Linked DNA regions of Oryctolagus cuniculus. The protein of the gene in region 5 purifies or fractionates together with the protein of the main gene of each other region. This does not show direct contact. Links are inferred from orthologs where the notes say so. Each region holds a gene or a part of one and is shown on either strand. Other genes may lie near its edges.

The links.
Region 1: the proteins of GPN3 (region 5) and POLR3D purify together in Homo sapiens (affinity purification with mass spectrometry; 3 studies listed by BioGRID and IntAct, counting the BioPlex papers as one, with this or other methods). This does not show direct contact. The link is inferred for Oryctolagus cuniculus from reciprocal best matches to the Homo sapiens genes GPN3 and POLR3D.
Region 2: the proteins of GPN3 (region 5) and POLR3B purify together in Homo sapiens (affinity purification with mass spectrometry; 3 studies listed by BioGRID and IntAct, counting the BioPlex papers as one, with this or other methods). This does not show direct contact. The link is inferred for Oryctolagus cuniculus from reciprocal best matches to the Homo sapiens genes GPN3 and POLR3B.
Region 3: the proteins of GPN3 (region 5) and POLR2M purify together in Homo sapiens (affinity purification with mass spectrometry; 3 studies listed by BioGRID and IntAct, counting the BioPlex papers as one, with this or other methods). This does not show direct contact. The link is inferred for Oryctolagus cuniculus from reciprocal best matches to the Homo sapiens genes GPN3 and POLR2M.
Region 4: the proteins of GPN3 (region 5) and POLR2G purify together in Homo sapiens (affinity purification with mass spectrometry; 3 studies listed by BioGRID and IntAct, counting the BioPlex papers as one, with this or other methods). This does not show direct contact. The link is inferred for Oryctolagus cuniculus from reciprocal best matches to the Homo sapiens genes GPN3 and POLR2G.

Annotation. Positions count from the first base shown.
Region 1 is NC_091439.1:1,075,015-1,079,263, forward strand, and holds the end of POLR3D (DNA-directed RNA polymerase III subunit RPC4), read right to left. Parts: intron 4,208-4,249; coding exon 4,056-4,207; intron 3,948-4,055; coding exon 3,823-3,947; intron 3,723-3,822; coding exon 3,554-3,722; intron 3,229-3,553; coding exon 2,963-3,228; intron 1,465-2,962; coding exon 1,312-1,464; intron 1,204-1,311; coding exon 1,081-1,203; 3' UTR 509-1,080; downstream 1-508. UniProt on the Homo sapiens protein: DNA-dependent RNA polymerase catalyzes the transcription of DNA into RNA using the four ribonucleoside triphosphates as substrates.
Region 2 is NC_091442.1:108,967,373-108,971,602, forward strand, and holds the start of POLR3B (DNA-directed RNA polymerase III subunit RPC2), read left to right. Parts: upstream 1-1,425; 5' UTR 1,426-1,532; coding exon 1,533-1,604; intron 1,605-1,744; exon of another isoform or gene 1,745-2,047; intron 2,048-4,230. UniProt on the Homo sapiens protein: Catalytic core component of RNA polymerase III (Pol III), a DNA-dependent RNA polymerase which synthesizes small non-coding RNAs using the four ribonucleoside triphosphates as substrates.
Region 3 is NC_091443.1:80,576,105-80,579,614, reverse strand, and holds part of POLR2M (protein GRINL1A), read right to left. Parts: intron 708-3,510; coding exon 503-707; intron 1-502.
Region 4 is NC_091432.1:8,823,692-8,827,658, reverse strand, and holds the start of POLR2G (DNA-directed RNA polymerase II subunit RPB7), read left to right. Parts: upstream 1-1,164; 5' UTR 1,165-1,304; coding exon 1,305-1,316; intron 1,317-1,430; coding exon 1,431-1,540; intron 1,541-2,346; coding exon 2,347-2,506; intron 2,507-3,513; coding exon 3,514-3,564; intron 3,565-3,933; coding exon 3,934-3,967. UniProt on the Homo sapiens protein: Core component of RNA polymerase II (Pol II), a DNA-dependent RNA polymerase which synthesizes mRNA precursors and many functional non-coding RNAs using the four ribonucleoside triphosphates as substrates.
Region 5 is NC_091452.1:8,131,415-8,135,527, reverse strand, and holds the start of GPN3 (GPN-loop GTPase 3), read left to right. Parts: upstream 1-1,312; 5' UTR 1,313-1,391; coding exon 1,392-1,559; intron 1,560-4,113. Other genes in the region: protein FAM216A, read right to left, coding at 739-821. UniProt on the Homo sapiens protein: Small GTPase required for proper localization of RNA polymerase II (RNAPII). May act at an RNAP assembly step prior to nuclear import.

The DNA.
Region 1 (4,249 bases), on a different chromosome or scaffold from region 5:
CCCACCCAAGGTGTAGGGTGTGGGGAGAAACCGGACTTCTTCCCATTCTTCCAACGCCATCTTCGCCCGGTAACACACAGGAAGCACTTGGCTAAGAGTAACCAGGAAAAGGGCCAGGACCCAGGGTGAGGAAGATGAAGAGAGGGGCAGGCGTTCGGCCTAGCAGCCCAGACCCTCGCATCCCGCACCGCAGGGCCCAGGTCCAGGCCCCGGCTCTGGCTCCTGACTCCGCGTCCTGCTAACGCACACCCTGAGAGGTAGAGGCGGCAGGATGGCTCAAGTGATTAGGTTCCTGCCACACGCGCGGGAGACCCAGACTGCGGTCACGGCTCAGCTCCAGCTGCTGTGGGCATTTGGGGAGTGACACAGCGGATGGAGCTCTGTCTGTCTCATAAACAAGCAAAAATTTTTAAAAGAAACAGTGAAGGCACAAAAGTGGGGAGTGTGCGGTTCTAGTCACTGGAGGGACAGGCAAGCTCTACGTTGCACAAACACAGACTCAGGCAAGGAAGAGGAAACAAACATTTATTGAGCGCCCACCAGGTACACGTCTGGCTGTGTGCAAGGAGCTGCCACCTAGAGAGCTCCATTCGATCCTCACGCCAACCCCGCGAGGCAGGTGCTAGCCCCACTTCCGTCCGATGAGGAACGTGAGGTTCAGAAAGGTTAGGAATGGACGAGTCCTCTCATCCACACTCCACCTCTGCTCTCGCCCACACGGCCTCGTGGGGGAGGGCGCACGGGCAAAGGCCAGGCCTTTCCACACCCTCCTCCCCCGGCCCTGCAGGCATCGAGAGGAGGGGCCTGTACTTCCCCCACACCCTCACCGGGGACGCAGCTGGCTGCAGATGCTAAGATATAAATACAAAAATAAATAGCAAGGACTAGGCCCCAGCAGCAAGGATATGCCACATCCACACTGCGGGAGGGAGCCCGGGGGCCCCGGGGTGCAAGTGGGGCGCCAGCTGCCAGAGGCCCGAGTGGGCAGGCCACACAGCCCCCTCTGGGCCACAGACTCCAGAACAAAACGCCTGCGGCAGGCAGCAGCCGTGGGCAGGCGCAGCTTCCTCCATCTGCTGCTCAGCGGTGCTTGTGATCCAAGAGGGACTCGAAGTCAGGGGAGCAGACGAGCTTGTGCTTCACGTGGCCCAGGACCGTCAGATCCCCCGTCCTGCTGTCTCCAAGGCCCACGGACACCAGCTCCTGCCAAGCGACAGACGGGGTGAGAACCCCCAGCTGTCCCTGGCCAGCGGCTCCCGTTCCTCGGGGCTCGAGCCCTGCCCGCCTCTCCCTGCGGCACAGGGTGCTCACCTGCAGGAAAGAGCAGGCGGTCCCCATGGTCACGTCCAGAGTCACCTTGCCCAGGAGGAGCTGCACCTTCCCTGATCTGCGGATGAGCAATTTGCCAACCTGCCCCTCCGTGAGGTCAGCCAGGGCACACGTGTTCTCTGCCTGCCTGGCTTCCTGTGGAGAGAGGAAGGGGGTGCAGACTGGGCAAGGAGCTCTCTCCTCCACCCTTCAGGAACAAACCCCAATCTCCCAGGGGAAGGCACTGGCAGCCCAGACCAGGGTAAGGCCCCCAGAGAGGGCCTTTTCCAAGGGCAATCTGCCATCGGTTAAAAGACAAAACCTGGGGTCGGCACTGTGGCGTAGTGGGTAAAGCCACAGCATGTGGTGCTGGCATCCCATATGGGCGCCGGTTTGAGTCCTGGCTGCTCCACTGCCAATCCAGCTCCCTGGGAAAGCAGTGGAAGACGGACCAAGTGCTTATGCCCCTGCACTCACATGGGAGACCCAGATGAATTTCCTGGCTCCTGGCTTTGGCCTGGCCCAACGCAGGCCAGGCCATTGCAGCCATCTGGGGAGTGAACCAACAGACAGAAGATCGATCTCTGTCTGTCTCCTTCTAATTTTTTCAAATAAATAAGTAAACCTTTAAAAATAAAAAAAAAAAATGGCCAAAACACAGAGAAAACAAATGTATAAAACATCAACAGCTGGGGCTGGCACTGTAGCATAGTACATAAAGCCGCTGCCTGCAATGCTGGCATCCCATGGGGCGCCAGTTTAAGTCCCGGCTGCTCCACTTCCAATCCAGCTCCCTGCCAATGGCCCGGGAAAGCAGTAGAAGGTGGCCCAAGTGCTTGGGTCCCTGCCATCCACATGGGGACCTGGATGGAGTTCCTGGCTTCAGCAAGGCCAAACCGTGGCCACTGTGGCCACCTAGGGAATGAACCAGCAGACTAAAGATCTCTCTCTCTCTCTCTCTCTCTCTCTCTGCAACTCTCTCAGATAAATAAATCTTTAAAACAAACCAACAACAGCTGCAGCTAAGGGATGGGACACAGGAGTCTCTGCCCTTGTAAAAGATGTAAAAATGACTGCAGAGGCTGGCGCTCCGGTGCAGTGGGTGAAACCACGGCATCCCACATGGGCGCTGGTTCTAGTCCCGGCTACTCCACTTCTGATCCAGCTCTCTGCTGTGGCCTGGGAAAGCAGCAGAAGATGGCCCAAGCCCTTGGGCCCCTGCACCCATGTGGGAGACCCGCAGGAAGTTTATGACTCCAGCCTGGCCCAGCCCTGACCATCACAGCCATTGGAGGAGTGAACCAGCAGATGGAAGATCTCGATCTCTCTCTCTCTCTAAAACTCTGCCATTCAGCTAAATAAAATAAATTAAAAAAAAAAAAAAAAAAAAAAAAACCCTCTGGAAAATGAGGCTTCCTGTGGTGCAAAACAGCCTGAAAGCCGTGCAGCTTTTCATAATGTGCACTTTCCACGGATTTTTCCAAGTACGCCTGCATGTTTGAAACTGTTCATTCTAGGAAGCAGGCGCACGTACACGGATTTGGGGCTGGCAGTGCAAAGCCCAGGCTCTGGCAGGTGCTGAGAGTGCATGCCTGCACCTGCACGCCTTCACCCCACCACCTCGGGCTCCCCCAGGGCTCCCCGGGACGCCTACCCGGTCCTTCTCCTGTTTGATGACCACCATCTGCCCGTCCTCGCCCTGCACCTCTGTCTTGATGGGCTTGACGTCCTGGGTGGGCGGCTGGCCGGGGAGCGTGTCCGGCAGCTGGAGGAACAGCAGTTCTTCCTCCTTGGTGAGGCTCAGCTCCCTCAGCAGCTCTGCCACAGACACGTCTTTCGGGAGGCCTGGCGTCCTCCTAGCCGCTCTGGGAGGAGCCTTCATCTTAGCCTCCTCCTCGTCGTCTCGTGGCTCCTCTTTTACTGCCCAGGGTAACAAACACAGAGGAGATACGAAGTGGGCGCCTCCATGCCACCTATTGCCCTGTCCACCCCACTACCGCTCAGCGAGGAGCCACGGGGAGACTGACAACGGTGAGGGGCGAGAGAGAGCACGCGCAGCTCTAAGAGCTAGGCAGGGTTGTCGGAGGCGTGGCCCCCGGGCAGGTCAACGCGGGAATCCTCCGAGAGGGTTTGTATACAGTAATATATTTATAGTACGGGTGTCCAGCTCACACATACGACAGGTGGAACGGGGCAGGGCCTACCCAGGAGCAGCTCAGGCCTGGCCTGAGGGATACCGGAATACCTTTCACAGAGGGCACGTCCACCTCCATGTCCTCCTCCTTGGGGCCGGCCAGCCAAGGCTTCACATCCTGATCCTCGCTCTCCTCCTTAAACAGCCAGCCCGAGTGCGCCAGCGGCAGCTGCACAGGCATGTTCCGGGTGTCGTTCCGCAGCCCAGGGTCATCGATGAACTGCCAAGGCAGAGCTGCGGGGTCACGGGCCGCTGCCCCTCGCTCCTCCCACCCCGGCAGCCCCCGCAATAGCGAACCCCCTCCCCGCCCCGGCACCCACGTCGTCTTTCTCCAGCATGCGCAGGATCTGCTTGGTCTCCTCGTCCGTCTCCCTCTTCTCCTTCTTGATGTTGATGATGTGAGAGGGACCCATATCCGACACATCCACGGTCTTATCCCAGCTCCCTGCGGGAAACCACCCTGTTCAGCAGCTAGCCGGCAGCGGGCGCTCCGTGGCTCCGGCCTGCCTCCGTGGCTCTGGCCCCGCCTCCATTCCTGACCCCTTCCTTGTACCTTTCTTCTTCATCATCTCAGCGGGGCCTTGCTCAAAGATGGAGTGGGACTGGATGACTTCCGGGCGGCCCCGGCCCCGCCCATGCCACTCCCGCTGCCGCTCTCGGTCCCTCTCCCGCTTCTCCTTCTTCACTGTGACCTCCTCCTTGGGCCTGCAAGAGACGGGGGATGCTGGGGACCACTTGGCCTGCCTT
Region 2 (4,230 bases), on a different chromosome or scaffold from region 5:
GGTGATATTGGGAGGGGGTGGACCTGTAAGAGATGGGGTGCAGTGGCAGGTAGTAAGGTGACTAGGAGCACTGCCCTGGGAAAGGATTTAGTTCTCTCAACTGCTCTTGGGCTTCTTGTCTTTCCTTGTGACCCTTCCCTCGCCATGCTGCCATGTGCCACGTGCTGTGTGATGCAGTCAAGGGAGCCCTCACCAGAGCTGAGGAGCCAGCGTCATGCCCTTGAACCTCCCAACCTGTGAGCTAAACAAATCTCTTTCTTCATGACTGAGCCTCAGCTATTTCATCATAGCCACAGAAAGCAAGCTGAGACACGATGCAAGGGTTCTACATGTATGGGGAAGGATTGGAAAGTACTACACATATTTACCAATTTTCATGAACTTTTTAAAAATTGTAAAATACACATAAACCTTGCTATTTTAATCATTAAAAATGGTTCAGGTTCATTGGTATTAAGCATATTCACAGTTATGCAAACATCCAGCTCCCCAAACACTACCTCTCTATCTATTAAGCAACTATTGGTATCTTGTGCCTTGTTTTTCACAGTGGGATTTTTTTCCTCCTATTGATTTGTAGAGCTCATTCTGAATTAGGGAGACCAATCCTTTATCTTCCCCCAACTTGTGTATCTAAAGAAACTCTATGATGTTTAAAAATGTTTATAAAATTAAATATCTTCCAAAGAATCATAAAATCATGTTTAGAATTCTATTATCCTTTATAAAGACTTCCGGGTTGCTGCTTTCACTATCTTCACATTACAAATACATTCACTGGCATTTTGAGATTTTATCAGTGAAATATTTAATCCTTATAGGATTTACTTGTGTTTTGCCTTTTTTTTTTTTTTCAAACCAAATGGCTAGTCAGGTGTTCCAGCATCACTTATTGGGTTTCCCCTATTGCTTTAAATATCATCTTTTCCTATTGTATTTCTACTTGTGCTGGTTATCGAACTTACTCCTTGGTCTTACTGTGCTGTTACGCCCTAGTCTGTAGTGCGAATTTCTCCCCACTTTGTGTCCGCTGTGATGGCTGTATGCTATCCCACCACACGCATGTACCGCGGTTTAGGTAATCAATACCCTACTTCTAGGCATTTGGGAAGTTTCTTGGTCTTCCAGACTACATAGTGCGTTTTGGATTGAACAAAATGAATTCTCCTAGTGCTTCAAATTGTGCAAATTATCCGTTCGCACTCTTCCTCGAATTACTTTTAAAATTACCACCACTGTATTCCGCTGCCCTCAATTATTGGCCAATACACGTGTAGGTCGGAAATTGGAATCTTTCGGGCACGACCTCGGAGCTGCACCAGGGGGCGCAGTTTCCAGCTCGGCCTCGACCACATCCGGGTTCCACCGCAGGTTCGTCCCGTAGCAGGCGGAACCTTTCTGTCGTGCCACCTGTGAACAAGCGCGGCGGGGACCATTTAGGCCGTTGCGCACCGACCTGCAGAAGTGCTTCGGCTTGCTTGCCGAAGGCCGGCGTGGAGGTTCAGTGTGCTTTTTCCTTCGTCGTGAACAGCATGGACGTGCTAGCGGAGGAGTTTGGAAACCTGAGCCCAGAGGAGCTTGCTGCGCCGATCCCGACTGTAGAGGTGAGTGTACGGCGAGCGGGCTGTGGAAGGGACCGGGACGCTTCCTGAGGGGGCGTTGCCCAAAGAGCCCTGGGGCTGAGGGAGGCCGGCTGGTGTCTTCTGCGCATGCGCAGGGCTTCCGCGCATGCTCAGAGCCCTGCGCGTGCGAGTCGGGCTCATGGACCGGTTGGTCCCGGCGGAGCTGTGTGGCGCCGCGGCTTCGGTGGCTCTCGCTGTGGAACCCTTACGGCACGGGCCCGCGTAGGCACTGTGAGAGACGTATCGCGTCTTGGTGGGCCCGTGGCGGACACCGAGTTCCAGGGAGCTTAGGCCAGTGTCGAAGTCCGAATTCAGGGTTGACGTTTTGGCCTCAGCGATGTTTAAACACGCTGAATATTAACTCAGCTATAGGCCTGTGTGTTTTCTGGGGAGAAGCCCCATAGCCTTCATCCGGCTCTCGGAAGGTAAAGGTAACTGCCCCACAGTGAGCTGCCCAGTCACGTGCAGCTGTTGACAAATTTAATTTCCTGAAAAAACACCGTTAAAAAAAAAGTTAATTCATTTGAATGGTGGAAAGATAGAGATCTTCCATCCCCGCTTCACTCAACAGCTGGGGCTGGCCCAGGCTGAAGCCAGGAGCCGGGAACTCCATCCTGGTCTCCCGCGTGCGTGGCGGGGGCCCTTGAGACATCATCTGCTGCCTCCCAGGGTGCATTAGCAGGGACCTGGATTGGAAGGGGCTGTCCCGGGGCTCCGGCTGGCACTTGAATGAGAGCAGGCATCCCAAGCAGTCTTTTTTTTTTTTTTTAAGATTTATTTATTTGAAAGGTAGCATTAGAGAGAGAAAGAGAGAGGGAGGGAGAGAGAGAGTGCTTCCACCCGTTGGTTCATTACCCAAATGGCCGCAACAGCTGGAGCTGGGCTGATCCGAAGCCAGAAGCCTGGGTCTCCCACGTGAGTGCAGGGACCCAAGTGCATAGGCCATCTTCCACTGCCCAGCAGTGCCACAATGCCTGCCCCCAAATCCATGTATTGTAACCTCCCTAAGCTTCAGGACCTTCGCTGGCTTGAGGGAGAGAAGTAGTGAGCCGGGAGGAGCTAGTGGGAAGAGAACTGGCAGAGCGGACAGGATACTTGGAAACCTCTAGGCGAGAAGAGCCGTGATGTTACCGAGGGACTGAGGGAAATCTAGTAGTACTAGAGGGAAGAAAAATAGAGGACGAGAGGAAGGCTATGGGAGGTTCCTGATTATGAAGGATTTTCTTAGACATCTGAAGGAGTTTGGACTTCCTCCTGGGAGCAGTGGAGTGCTTTTGGAGGGTTTTAGCAGGACAGTGACATGGTCAGTGAGTCTATTGGATTATTAGAACTTCTTTATAATTACTTGGCAGTATTACAAAGTTGAGTTATAATCACTCCAACAGATTCAGTCTATGAGTGTGTGCAAAGCGTGCTGATCACCAGGCAGTACCCTGAAGAGGTTATCAAAGCCAGTGTTTACTAGTACTTGTCTGTACCAGGCTCTGTTTTGCCATGATGTGTCTTGTTGTTTAATCCTCTGAAATAAATCTTATTTTCACTCGCATTTAGCTGGAAAGATTTGCTGGCTAGGTGTTAGAAGGCTGGGCCAAGGCCCATGTAGAATTTGGACTTGTCAGTGTGACTCCAGTCTTTTTTTTTTTTTTTTTTTTAAAGATTTTATTTATTTATTTGAAAGAGTTACACAGAGAAGGAGACGCAGAGAGAGAAAGAGAGAGGTCTTCCATCCGATGGTTCACTCCCCAGTTGGCCACAGCTGCTGGAGCTGTGCCAATCCAAAGCCAGGAGCCAAGAACTTCTTTGGGTCTCCCACATGGGTGCAGGGGCCCAAGACTTGGGCCATCTTTTACTGCTTTCCCAGGGCGTAACAGAGAGCTGGATCAGAAGTGGAGCAGCCGGGACTTGAACTGGCGTCCATATAGGATGTTGGCACTGCAGGCGGCAGCTTTACCCACTACACCACAGTGCCAGCCCCAAGTCTGCATCCTTAACTGGTGACAGGACCGACCCCTTCTCTGGAGAGCTGAAGAAGCAGCCGTAGAAGATTTCTGTTTCTTGTCTGAATTTGCACAGCCCTGAAGGGAACCAGTACCACGATTCCAGCCTTCTGGTTCAGAAATAACCATTTCTTTCCTGGCTCTGTGCATCTGAATCACATCATGCTGCAGGGGCTTGATTTTGGTACCTTAAAATAACTTTTTTGAGGCCAGCATTGTGGCTTAATGGTTTAAGTTGCCACCTGTCATGCCGGCATCCCATGTGGGTGCCAGTTCAAGTCTGGCTGCTCCATTTCTGACCAGCTCCCTTCTGATGTGTTTGGGAAAAGCAGCAGAGGATGGCCCAAGCCCTGTACCCACATGGGAGACCCGGATGAAGCTCTTGGCTCCTGGCTTTGGATCAGTTCAGCTCCGGCTTTTATGGCCATTTGGGGAGTGAAACAGCAGATGGAAGATCTCTCTGTCTCTCTCTCTCTGTTACTCTGCCTTTCAAATAAATAAATAAAATAAATAAATAAATTAAAAAATAACTTCTTTTTTAATTAATTACTTAGAAAATAGCCTTTTTCATTCGGATCTGGCTAAAAAGCCAGTGAGAGTATCTCAGGCAT
Region 3 (3,510 bases), on a different chromosome or scaffold from region 5:
GTCACTAAAAGCGGATGATGCTGTAAGCAGTGTGTCCCACCATCTGTTGGCAACCTGCTATCCTCCACTGCTCCTCGGCACTCCCCTGGTACTGTACAGACGGAAGCCAGGGAGCTACAGTTCCCTGATTCTGGGTTAGATTCTACCAATGAATCTAATTTAGAAGGTGAAAGACAAAGGAACAATGCTATCCTATCCTAACAGAAGTGGTACAGCAATGGGCTTTAAGATGTAAAATTGTGCAGTAGTCTCCCCATGTTTCCTGGCAAATCACCACTTTGTAATACTGAGGGAGACTTAATCACCTCCAGCTGTTTCCCAGAAGTCTTAGCAACTTTGTGACTCTTTGTAAACTAAAGGCACATGACTGATGGCCAATGGGATGGCTGACCATTTCTCTAGCACCTAACCCCTTCTACTGCATTCTTTCCTTCTTGACTACCTGCAATAAATTCTGACCTATCAACATACAGACAAGAAAAAAAATTAGTAATCTAAATACCTCATAATTCTGTTTCTGCTGTTTCTGAAGTGCCAAAGATTCCTCTATAGAGAGCAGCTGTGTAGGCAGATGGTGAAGTGGGAGAAGCCGAGCTGCTGTGATGTCATCAAGATGCTGCTTGTCCCTGCGTCGCCGCTCTTCTGAGGCAACAGGAGACTCTCCCCGCTGTCGGTGACTAGACGAATCACTCTGTCGCGAAGGTAACCTAAAGGAGGGAAAACTTACCTTATACAATCAGGTATTTTCCCATTAATAGAGCAAGTGAGCTCCTAACTTAACAATGGTAAAGTACATCCATACGATCATTTGGTTTTTCATTCTCAGTATGGCATTCAATAAATTACATGAGGTAGTCACTATATTATAAAACAGGCACATGTTGATGACTTCTCCCGACGGTATGTGAATATAAGTGTTCTGAGCACTGCAGGTAGGCTAGACTAAGCCACGGTATTCTGTAGGTTAGGTGTAGTATTTCTAATTTATGATGCGCTACCAAGACATACCCCATCATAGGTCAAGGAGTATATACATACAGCACACACAAGCTCTTTCCTCTTCCTTCCCTCTTTAAATCTTACATCAAGCCGGCACCGCGGCTCACTAGGCTAATCCTCTGCCTTGCGGTGCTGGCACACCGGGTTCTAGTCCCGGTCGGGGCACCGGATTCTGTCCCGGTTGCCCCTCTTCCAGGCCAGCTCTCTGCTGTGGCCAGGGAGTGCAGTGGAGGATGGCCCAAATACTTGGGCCCTGCACCCCATGGGAGACCAGGAGAAGTACCTGGCTCCTGCCTTCGGATCAGTGCAGTGTGCCGGCCGCAGCGGCCACTGGAGGGTGAACCAACGGCAAAGGAAGACCTTTCTCTCTGTCTCTCTCTCTCTCTCACTGTCCACTCTGTCAAAAAAAAAAAAAAAAAAAATCTTACATCAAATCCAAGCTATGTTTTTCACTTATTCATTCAAAGAACATTGGCTATAGGGCTTACTGTCCATAAGAGGAAAATAAACATGTAAACAGTTTCAGTGAAATATAATACCACAGATCCTATCACAGTTGCGGCCAGTTCTAGCAAGGGACAAGGAGTTTGCCAGTTTCAAAAAAGTGAAATTTGAACAGCCTTGGAATAATAAGTGCTCACCATGTAACAGGGGGAGAAGAGCACTCGAGCACCAGGAGTGAGGGGCAACATGGCTGCAGCATACAGAAGTAAGAGGATGGAAAAGCCAGAAAAGGCAAGAGAAGGCTGGGAAGTAGGCTGGGCCCAGATCACAAGGAAGAGTTACAGTCTATATAACTGGTAGAGATTTGCATATTACAAGTTTGATTCTGGCAGGAGTGGAGAAGCACAACTGGGAGTTAAGACTCTAGGCAAGAACAGTCCACAACTATAGCTCAAAAGAGATGCAAACCTTCACTGTGACAGGAGGGGATGAAGATAAGAACATTTATAGAGATGGAAGATTAAGGAAATAAATTATGTGGATCTTCACAGCTAGCAAATATAAAGAAAAGACACCTGGGAGGTAGTAGAGGGGATGGGGCAGAGAGATATGGCAGCACTATAACCTAGAGATTATGGGAGGAAAGTCAGTTTAGATATAAATAGGAGTTTCACTTTGTACATGAAAAACCTGAATTGTCACAGACACCCAAGTGGTCATGTTTTATAGATAACATGCCACACAAATCTAAAGTTTTAGCAAGACTTAGACTAAAAGTAGATAAAAGGCAGCTTTTGGCATTCAAATTGTCTCTGAAGCCAAAGGAAAGCGGAGAAGGTGCCAAAGGACACAACCTCATCCACTGTCCAAACTCCCAGGCACTGCTCACACATGGAAGCCACCCATTCCCTGCCTATTTATGGCCTACTGACTCATCAAGGCCTAGCTTTTCCTGATCTCTTCTAACTGCACAGAAAATTCCTTCTCTTTAAATTCCTTAACCTTCAGAGGCCCTCATTATTATTTCCTTATCTCTCTCTTGCTCCCAACAAGATCATAATACATAATCAGGATCATTATATCTTTTATTTATTGACTAGATTTTCTAAAATGTCCTTATAGAAATGAAGAAAGATACCTCACTGCATACAAGATGAGAGATTACTCACAGATTACTTTTTATTACTAAAATTTAAAGTTTTAGTTTCTTACACACCAGAAATAAGATGATTTGATGTTAAAAACAAATAAAGAGTGAGGTAGGATAAAGCTGAAAGTTCATTCAAGTCCCTTTATAATAATAAAATCACAAAAAAACCACCTTTTTGATATTTTTAGCTAAAGATTTTGTTTTTCAAAGTAGTATAGTGATAGTTTGAGTTTGGATCTGATGTTCCATCTTTGGAAACAGGCATGAACCAGCCACTACTTGCCGATTTGGACGTTACACCTGCTACAAGTAATTACCTACTATTTTCTCTTAAAGAGGTTTTTTTCCTGGAGATCTCAAAAACCAAACAATGGCAAGAAACTCAGAAGCAAGGTTTTTGCCCATGCTGCCTGAATCTGTTTTCACAGTTTATTATCCTCCTCTCTTCTCCCTTCCCACTGAAACTATTATTATATACTTTGATTTTTTTTCACCAGGTATGTAAACCTTGATTCCTCATCAGCATCCTAGACTGAGTAACAGAAACTATTTCACTGTGTCCTCACAGCACCAGAGGCCTACATATAGCATGAACACACAAGTACAAGTACAATTTTGCTGAGAGTCCATCACTTCCTGCATTGCTTTGCCCTTACAGACTAATCAAAGGGGGAGCAGTAACCAGAAACTGGTTCTAATAAAAAAAATCAATAAATTCTCTCCTTAGCTCTGTTTATTATGAAATACTGGCTAAGTATCCTGAAATTTAATACTCCCCCACCAACATAAAATCTGTTCAATTATTTGGCTTTAAAAACAAAAGTATTTTTCAACAAGAATCCTCTTTCCAGTGAGGCTAGTCTCACTGCTTCCATAATATGCCCCATCTCTAACCACAAGCAGCACTCAAAGGAAGC
Region 4 (3,967 bases), on a different chromosome or scaffold from region 5:
CAGGCCAAAGTAGGGAGCCAGGAGCTTCCTCTGGGTCTCCCACAGGCCCCTGTTTCAGGGGCCCAAGGACTTGCTGCCTTCTCAGGTACATTAGCAGGGAGCTGGATCAGAAGTAGAGCTGGGGCCAGCACTCCAGCCGTTGCCGCCATTTTGGGACTGAACCAGCAGATGGAAGGCCTTTCTTGCTGTCTCTCCTTCTCACTTTCTGTAACTCTACCTCTCAAAATAAATAAATAAATAAATAAATAAAATCTTAAAAAAAAAAGTGGAGCTGCCAGGACTTGAATCGGCATCCATATTGGATGCCAGTGCTGCAGGTCATGACTTTATCCCACTGCACCACAACGCCAGCCGCCAACAATTTTTTTAAAAAATATTTATTTAATTATTTGTAAGTCAGAGTTACAGTGAGAGAGAAAGGAACAAGTCTTCTATCCACTGGTTCACTCCCCAAAGGGTACAACGATGAGGCCTGGGCCAGGCCAAAGCTGGGAACCAGGGGCTTCTTCCAGGTCTCCTCTGTGGGTGCAGGGCCCCAAGCACTTGGGTCGTTTTCCACTGCTTCTCGCAGGCTTTTGGAAGGGATTTGGATCAGAAGTGGAGCAGGGGCTGGCGTTGTGGCATAGCGGGTAAAGCCGCGGCTTCCATTGCCGGCATCCCATATGGGCGCCAGTTCGAGTCCCAGCTGCTCCACCTCTGATCCAGCTCCCTGCTATGGCCTGGGAAAGCAGTGGAAGATGGCCTGAGTCCTCGGGCCCTGCACCCACGTGGGAGACCCTGAGTAGGCTCCTGGCTTCAGATTGGGCCAGCTCCGGCCTTCGCGGCCATTTGGGGAGTGAACCAGGGGATGGAAGACCTCTCTCTCTCTACTTCTCTCTAACTCTGCCTCCCAAATAGATAAAACCTTGAAAAAAAAAAAAAGGCTACTATCCACCTAGATACTTAACACCACATTGACTATGGGAAAGCAGTCTGTAAAATACTTGCTGAATGACTCCGCTGTTAAAATAATTATGTCATCTTTCACCAGGAATTAATTCAGTTTAAAATATTCAGTTCACAAATACTTTAAGTTACTTGGCGGAGCGGGCAAGGTTTGAGCGCCAGTCGGAGGAACCGAGGGGCGGAGCTTCATCAATCCTCCACAGGGAGGCCCAATCGTATCCATCGACTGGAAGGAGTCCCGCCCACTTCCGGCGGACCCGGAAGCGAGGGGCGGCTGCGCGGCGTGCGCTTCCGGTGAAGCCAGTGGGTCGGTGTTTGTAGCGCTGGTGGCGGCTTGTTTTAGAGTCTCGTCGGGGAAGATGTTCTACCACGTGAGCAGGGCGCGGGGTGATGGCGAGGGCTGGGTCGAGAGGAGGAACGGGGCGCCGGTGCGGAGGGCTGCTGCTTGCCCCGTATCCTCCGTCTGCGTTCCGCTGTCTCCGCAGATCTCCCTGGAGCACGAGATCCTGCTGCACCCGCGCTACTTTGGCCCTAACTTGCTCAACACCGTGAAGCAGAAGCTCTTCACCGAGGTGGAGGGGACTTGCACTGGCAAGTGAGTACTGTGGCCGTGCGTGTGGTCTCGGCGGCGCGCACACGGGACCCTGTACCTGCAGCCGCCCCCCTCCCAGCGTGGGCTGCAGCACCTTGCCACCCACGCTGGGGAGCGCTCCGTAACTTCCTTCAGCCTAGATTTCTCATTCTTTTACTGCGCGTTTTTCGAGCTCCTGCTGTGAGCCGGGCCCCGTGTTGGGCCCTGGGAACATGCAGAGAACAAGATGGAATGAGGCCAGCACGCGTGGGGCTCACAGTTTAACCCTTGTCCCTCGGTTTCTGCTGAGCCCAGGGAGTTGGCATGGCACAGTGTGTTTCCTGAGTGAATGACCAGAGAATGCGGGTCGACGGGGTGAGGAAGGAAGGAGGCTGGGGCTTGACTGTCCTTGGGTTCTTCCCAGAGCGGTAGGAGTGGACTGGAACTCAGCTCGGGGCCGGGCGGTACTTGAGCCTACAGCAAAGCCAGATTACCCTGGATGCACGTTCGTTCCTAAGACTCCTCACATCTCTGGGGCAGGCCTGGGACTCTGCCTGCTCACACGCTCCTCCCAGGTGATTCTGAGGCAGCTCGAAGATTGAGGTCAGAGACTGCAGCCACTTCGGATGTTTGTTGTGAAACAGGAGAGCAGCGCGTGGCCTTTACAGATGCTGATCCCTGCCCTTTCTCTTGGTTCTGAAGCGCTCTGGGGGCAGAGATGCTGTCTGCTTCCCCTCTTAACCCCTTCCCAGGCTCGATGACTCTTGCTGCAGATGGCGTTAGAGGCCCTTCCGCATATAGAACCTTTCTCTTTCTCATCCTCCTCACAGGTATGGCTTCGTCATTGCTGTCACCACCATAGACAACATCGGCGCAGGAGTGATTCAGCCAGGCCGAGGCTTTGTGCTTTATCCTGTTAAGTACAAGGCCATTGTTTTCCGGCCCTTTAAAGGTGAGGTCGTGGATGCAGTTGTCACTCAGGTCAACAAGGTGAGTCCTCACATAGAGGAGGCAACGGGGTGGTCCCTGGGAGGAGCTGGTTTGGGTCCCTGCTCCTCTTGCTAACTCTGTGCCTTTGGCTAAGTCACTTTTTTGTACTTCAGTTTCCTCACTTGGCAAATGGTTCTAGGAATCTTGGTCCTGCCTCACTCAGGAGGCACGTGATTCAGTATTAATAGTCGTAAGGGTAGAGTCCTGGGGCCAGCGCTGTAGCCCAGCGGGTTAAATCCATGACATACGGCACCGACATTCCATATGGGTGCAGGTTCAAGTCCCGGCTGTTCCGCTTTCCATCTAGCTCCCTACTAATGCTCCTGGGAAAGTGGTGGAGGATGGTCCAAGTCCTTGGGCCCCTGCACCCATGTAGGAAACTCAGAGGAAGTTCTTGGCTCCTGGCTTTTGCCTGACCCAGCCCTAATCATTGCAGCCATTTGGAGAGTGACCCAGCAGATGAAAGATTCTCTCTCTCTCTCTCTCTCAAGTCCTAGGTGTAGGCTCTTTACTACTGCACTGTTTTTACTTAACTTAAAATGAAAGATTGGTGCTGGCATTGTGGTGCAGTGGGTTAGGCTTACTTACATTCCAGTATTGTTGAGTATCAGTGTGCCGGTTGGCATCCAGGTGCTGTTTCCTGTGCTACTTCCTGCTAATGTGCCTGAGAAAGCAGTGGAAGATGACCCACGTGCTGGGGCCTTGCCACCCACGTGGGAGACCTGGCTGGTATTCTGGGGTCTTGGGTACAGTCCCAGCCACTGGGGCCATTTAGGGACTGAACCATTGGACAAAAGATCTGATTCTCTGTTTTTTCTGTCACTCTGCGTTTCAGGTACATAAAATAGCTAAATACATAATGAAATGTTAATAAAAAAGAGAAGTGCAAACAAATGCCACAATTCATACCGGTCATAGAACATGAGTAAAATTGTAGGAATCAAGTAAAAATGGGAACAAAAGACTTGGAGGGGAAGAAAAAGCGAAATCATTCGTTTTCCTTGTAGGTTGGACTCTTCACAGAAATTGGGCCAATGTCTTGCTTCATCTCTCGACACGTAAGTCTGGGACACCGGGTAGGCTGGGACACCGGGTAGGGGCTAGAAAGATGCGCCCGTTTGTGGTCATCTACTGAAGCATCTGTTGAAAGTGCTGACCCTCCTGGGTTCTATACTCATCTCTGGCTGCTGACTCCAGCCTCTGCTAATGTGCACCCTACGAAGGCGGTTGGTGATGGCTCAAGTGACTGGGTCCCTGCTGCCCTGGTGGGAGACCTGGACGGAGTTCCCAGCTCCTGGCTCTGGCCCCAGGCTTGGGCCACTGTGGGCATTTGGAGAGTAAATCAGCGGATGGGTATTCTCTGCCTCCCAAAGAAGTGTATAGATAAGGAAATGACAGTGTTGACCTACTTTGACTTTTCCTTTCAGTCTATCCCATCAGAGATGGAGTTTGATCCCAATT
Region 5 (4,113 bases):
AACGGTAACTATTGCATATGCGTTTTATTTTTCATGTATGTCTTGCAGATCACCTGCAATTCTGCTTAAATCCTGATGGCTGCGAGTTTTCTCGCAGTGTGTTATCTGAGCTTTTCACCATACTAGAAAGGATGTATTCCAGTCTGTCTGTATGTATTTATTTATTCTAGGCCAGATTTGGTCTTACCTTTATAGCTTCCCAATCTAATGCCTACAGCGAGCTCAATAAAACTGGTTCGGGCTCCTGCGTTATTAATCCATGGTATTTTCTTACTCTATTTTAAATAAAATAACTGGGGTTTTGAAGGCAGCCCTTTGAACAGTGATTAAGGGATGCGGGAACGGATACCTTGGCCTGTAATGTTGTAATTTGGTACAGTTTTTTTCCTTTTTTTCAAATTAAGACCGAATGCCCTCCATCCCGCCTGCTACCGCGTGTTCCCAGATCTGATCCCTGCCAAGGGCCGTGGCCCCCGCCGTTAACAGCCCCTCAGCCAACCTCAGACACAGGGCCCCGCGCGGCCCGGGGGCGCCGCCCGCCCTCCGCCTCTGGGCGACCCCCGGGGGCCGACGCCAAAGCGTCCCCGGCGGGGCCCGAAAACTCCACGCAGTCCTCGCACTCGGCTCCGAGCGTCCCCCCCCCCCCGGCCACGGCCGCCGCCCGCCCCCGCCCTCCCGGGCGCTCACGACCCCGGGCTGGGCGCCGTCCCCCCAGCCCCTCCGGGCCCCCGGCCTCACCCGCCGCCGCCGCCGCCGCCCTCGGTCCCGGCCACCGCGGGCGGCTCGGCCGAAGAGTCGGCCCCCGGCCCCCGGCCCGGCATCTCCCCGGCGCCCGGACGGCGAGCTGCGTGCGGGAGAAGCGGGCCCTGCCCCTGCCCCCTCTGCACGCGTGCGTCAGGCGGGAGGTGTCGGGGCGACACCTCGGGAAGCTGGGAGGGCTAGGAGACCCACGACCCCGGATCTGCGGGAGTGCGTTACTTGGTGGCGAGTCTGTGCTTTCGCATCTTTTTGTGCAAGGGACGCGTCACGGGAACGAAACGCACACGCTCCCCTGAACACGAGGTGCCTTCCACCTCAGGGTTCCAGACCCTCAGCACATTTGCAAAGCTTGGGTGGCACCGTCCGAGCCCAACGCCAATGCGCAAACCAAGAATCAGGGATGCTGAGCGTTTGCCGTTATCCTTTGTCTCCCTGGCAACCAGGCTCCGGCGGCTACCCAACCGCGGGTTTCCGCCAGCCGCTTCTGCGCACGCGCAAGACCTCCTCCTTCACTCTCTCCCTCCCTCCCTCCCACCTCTCTCCTCCCCGCCCCTTCCGTGTCTCCCGGACGCGTTTCTCACGGGACTTGGCCCGCGGAACGTTCCGTAGCCGGAGGTGTGACTTACCCGGAAATGTATAAGGAGCTTCGGTTGCGATTGGTTCGCACCTCGCGCTCCCGGAAGTGGGTGGGCGTGGCGCCAAGGCTGAAGCGGGAAGTGTGCCGTACGGCCCTGGAGAAGCCGAGGGTCGGCATGCCTCGTTACGCGCAGCTGGTCATGGGCCCCGCCGGCAGCGGGAAGGTGAGATTTGGTGGGAAAGGAGAGAAAGATCGTAACCCGTGTGAGGCGAGGGTTCGGTCCTGAGAGAAGGGCGTGTACCGAGGGCCTTGAGACTCCGCGCCGTTCGCTTCTGCTCTCGGTCTTCGGGGTCCTGTCGTCTTGCAAGGGGGTCGTGGCGGTTGTTGGTGGACGCTTAGGCCCCGGGTTGGAGTAGCCCAACCCTAGGAGATGGGTCTTCTTATTCCCGTTTAGGGAAGGTCGCGCGCGTACGAGTCGGGACCTGAACTGGAATCCGGGTTTGTTTTGTTTTTCTGACTCCAGAATCCTGTCCTTTCTCCCTCCCAGGAGACTAAAGTGGGGTCTTTGTGGGTGTTTCCCAAAGCCTGGGACGTGGACTTCTGGTATTTGAAGGGATTTTAGATGGCAGTGGGACCCCGCGTTACGGAACATCGGCTCGTATGCTCAGAACATTCCCCCTTCCCCTTCTGGATTCCACTGCGGTGAAGCTACGCTGGCTTCTAACGTAGCTCCATTTTTTAAAAAAAGGACTTATTTTATTTATTTGAAAGTCAGAGTCAGAGTTAGAGAGAAGGAGAGGCAGAGAGAGAGAGGTCTTCCATCCGCTGGTTCACTCCCCAATTGGCTGCAATGGCCAGAGCTGAGCCAATCCAAAGCCAGGAGCCAGGAGCCTCTTCCAGGTCTCCCACGTGGGTGCAGGAGCCCAAGGACTTGGGCCATCTCCCACTGCTCCCCAGGCCACAGCAGAGAGAGCTGGATTGGAAGTGGAGCAGCCGGGACTTGAACCGGCACCCATATGGGATGCCGGCCCTGCAGGCGGGGGCTTTACCCGATACACCACAGCGCCAACCCCCATGATGTTTTTTGTCAACAAATATTAAGGGCATGGTGGTAGTAGCACTCAAATACTGTAAAACCAGTGAAGATATTGAGCAAATAACGTAGTTGGGGAAACACTGGAGTTTGTGGAGGTGTCAGGAGGCGTCAGTGTTCAGCAGAAGCACCTGCTGAGCCACTGCCCCCTCCTATGCAGGAGGTTCCACACGGGACTGAGATTTGGCCGTCTCCTGCCCAGGGGCACAGCCTGGCTGGGAAGAACGGTGACTGCCAGTTAAGATACAGCTGGATGGGGAACTGGCTGTTAGCCTAGCAGTTAAGAGGTCTGTGTCCCACATCTGCACGTCTGGGTTCAGTGCCTGGTGCCAGCTCCTGGGTCCAGCACCACGGTGCCGCAAGTTGGGCTGCCACCTGTGACACCAGCATCTCACGGGCACTGGTTCAGTTCCCGGCTGCTCCACTTCTGCTCCAGCTCCCTGCGAATGCATCTGGAAAAGCACCAGGAAGTGGCCCAGTGGTTTGGCCCCTGCCACCCACGTGGGAGACCTGGATAGAATCCTGGCTTTGGTGCAGCCGTTTGAGGAATGAATCAGCAGATGGAAGATCTCTCTCTCTGTCTCTCCTCCTCTCCCTCCAACTCTGCATGTCAAATAAATAATCTTAAAAAAAAAAAAAAAAAAAAAGGGAAACTGAGTTCCTGCCAGCTGCGTGGCAGATCTGGATTAAGATCTTTCTCTCTCCCTCCCTCCCTCCTTCCCTCCGTCTTAAAATTTAAAATAAATAAAAAAGGAATGAGAAGACAATGCGGTGTATGGAGAGGGCTTCCTAGGCAGAGAAAACAGTGTGTGTGAAGGCACTAAGGGGAGAGCATGATGGGAATTATTTCTTTTGACAGAGGGTGGGAGGGATAAACAAGTAGATGCAGGATTTTTATGTGATGTAGTAAGGACTACACAAGGGATAAGGAATCTCTGAACCAGAATTTGAGGGGCCAGTGTGGTGGTGTAGCAGGTTAAGCTGCCATCTGCAATGCCAGAATCCCATATGAGCATCAGTTCAGTCCCGGCTGCTCCACTTCTGATCCAGGTCCCTGCTAATGTGCTTGGGAAAGCAGTGGAAGAGGGCCCGAGGAGCTGGGTCCCTGCCACCCACATGGGAGACCTGGGTGGAGTTCTGGTTCCTGGCCTCAGCCTGGCCCAGCCTCGACCATTGCAGTCATCTGGGGAGTAAACCAGTGAATAGAAGACCTCTCTCTCTCTCTCTCTCTCTCTCTCTCTCTCTTCCTCTCTCTCTCTCTTCCTGTCTCTGGTACTTTGCCTTCCAAATGAATAAATAAAAAAATAAAATCTTTTTTTTTTTTTTTTTAAGTTGCAAACTGCTAGCCCACCTCCAGGCTGTATATTGGCCTTGGTGTTCCCTCATCTAGAAATGCTCTTCCTCTGAGTTGGCAAAACGTTCCCGTAGGCTCAGGTATCCCCTACTAAGAGACACCGTCCCTGGCCGTCCTACCCAAGTCTTTGTTTGGACCTTGCTGGTTCTAGTGGAGACACGATGTGTTGGGTGCTGCACCGTGTAACCAGAAGCCTCCCCTTTGAGTTCCTTTTCTTCCACGTTAGAGCAGTGATGGGCCTTGGTTATCTTGAAGGGCATCCCAGTTAGAGAGGAGACACCTGAGGGCAGAGTGGGGAAGCACCTTCCCCAGAGTTCCCATGAGTCCACG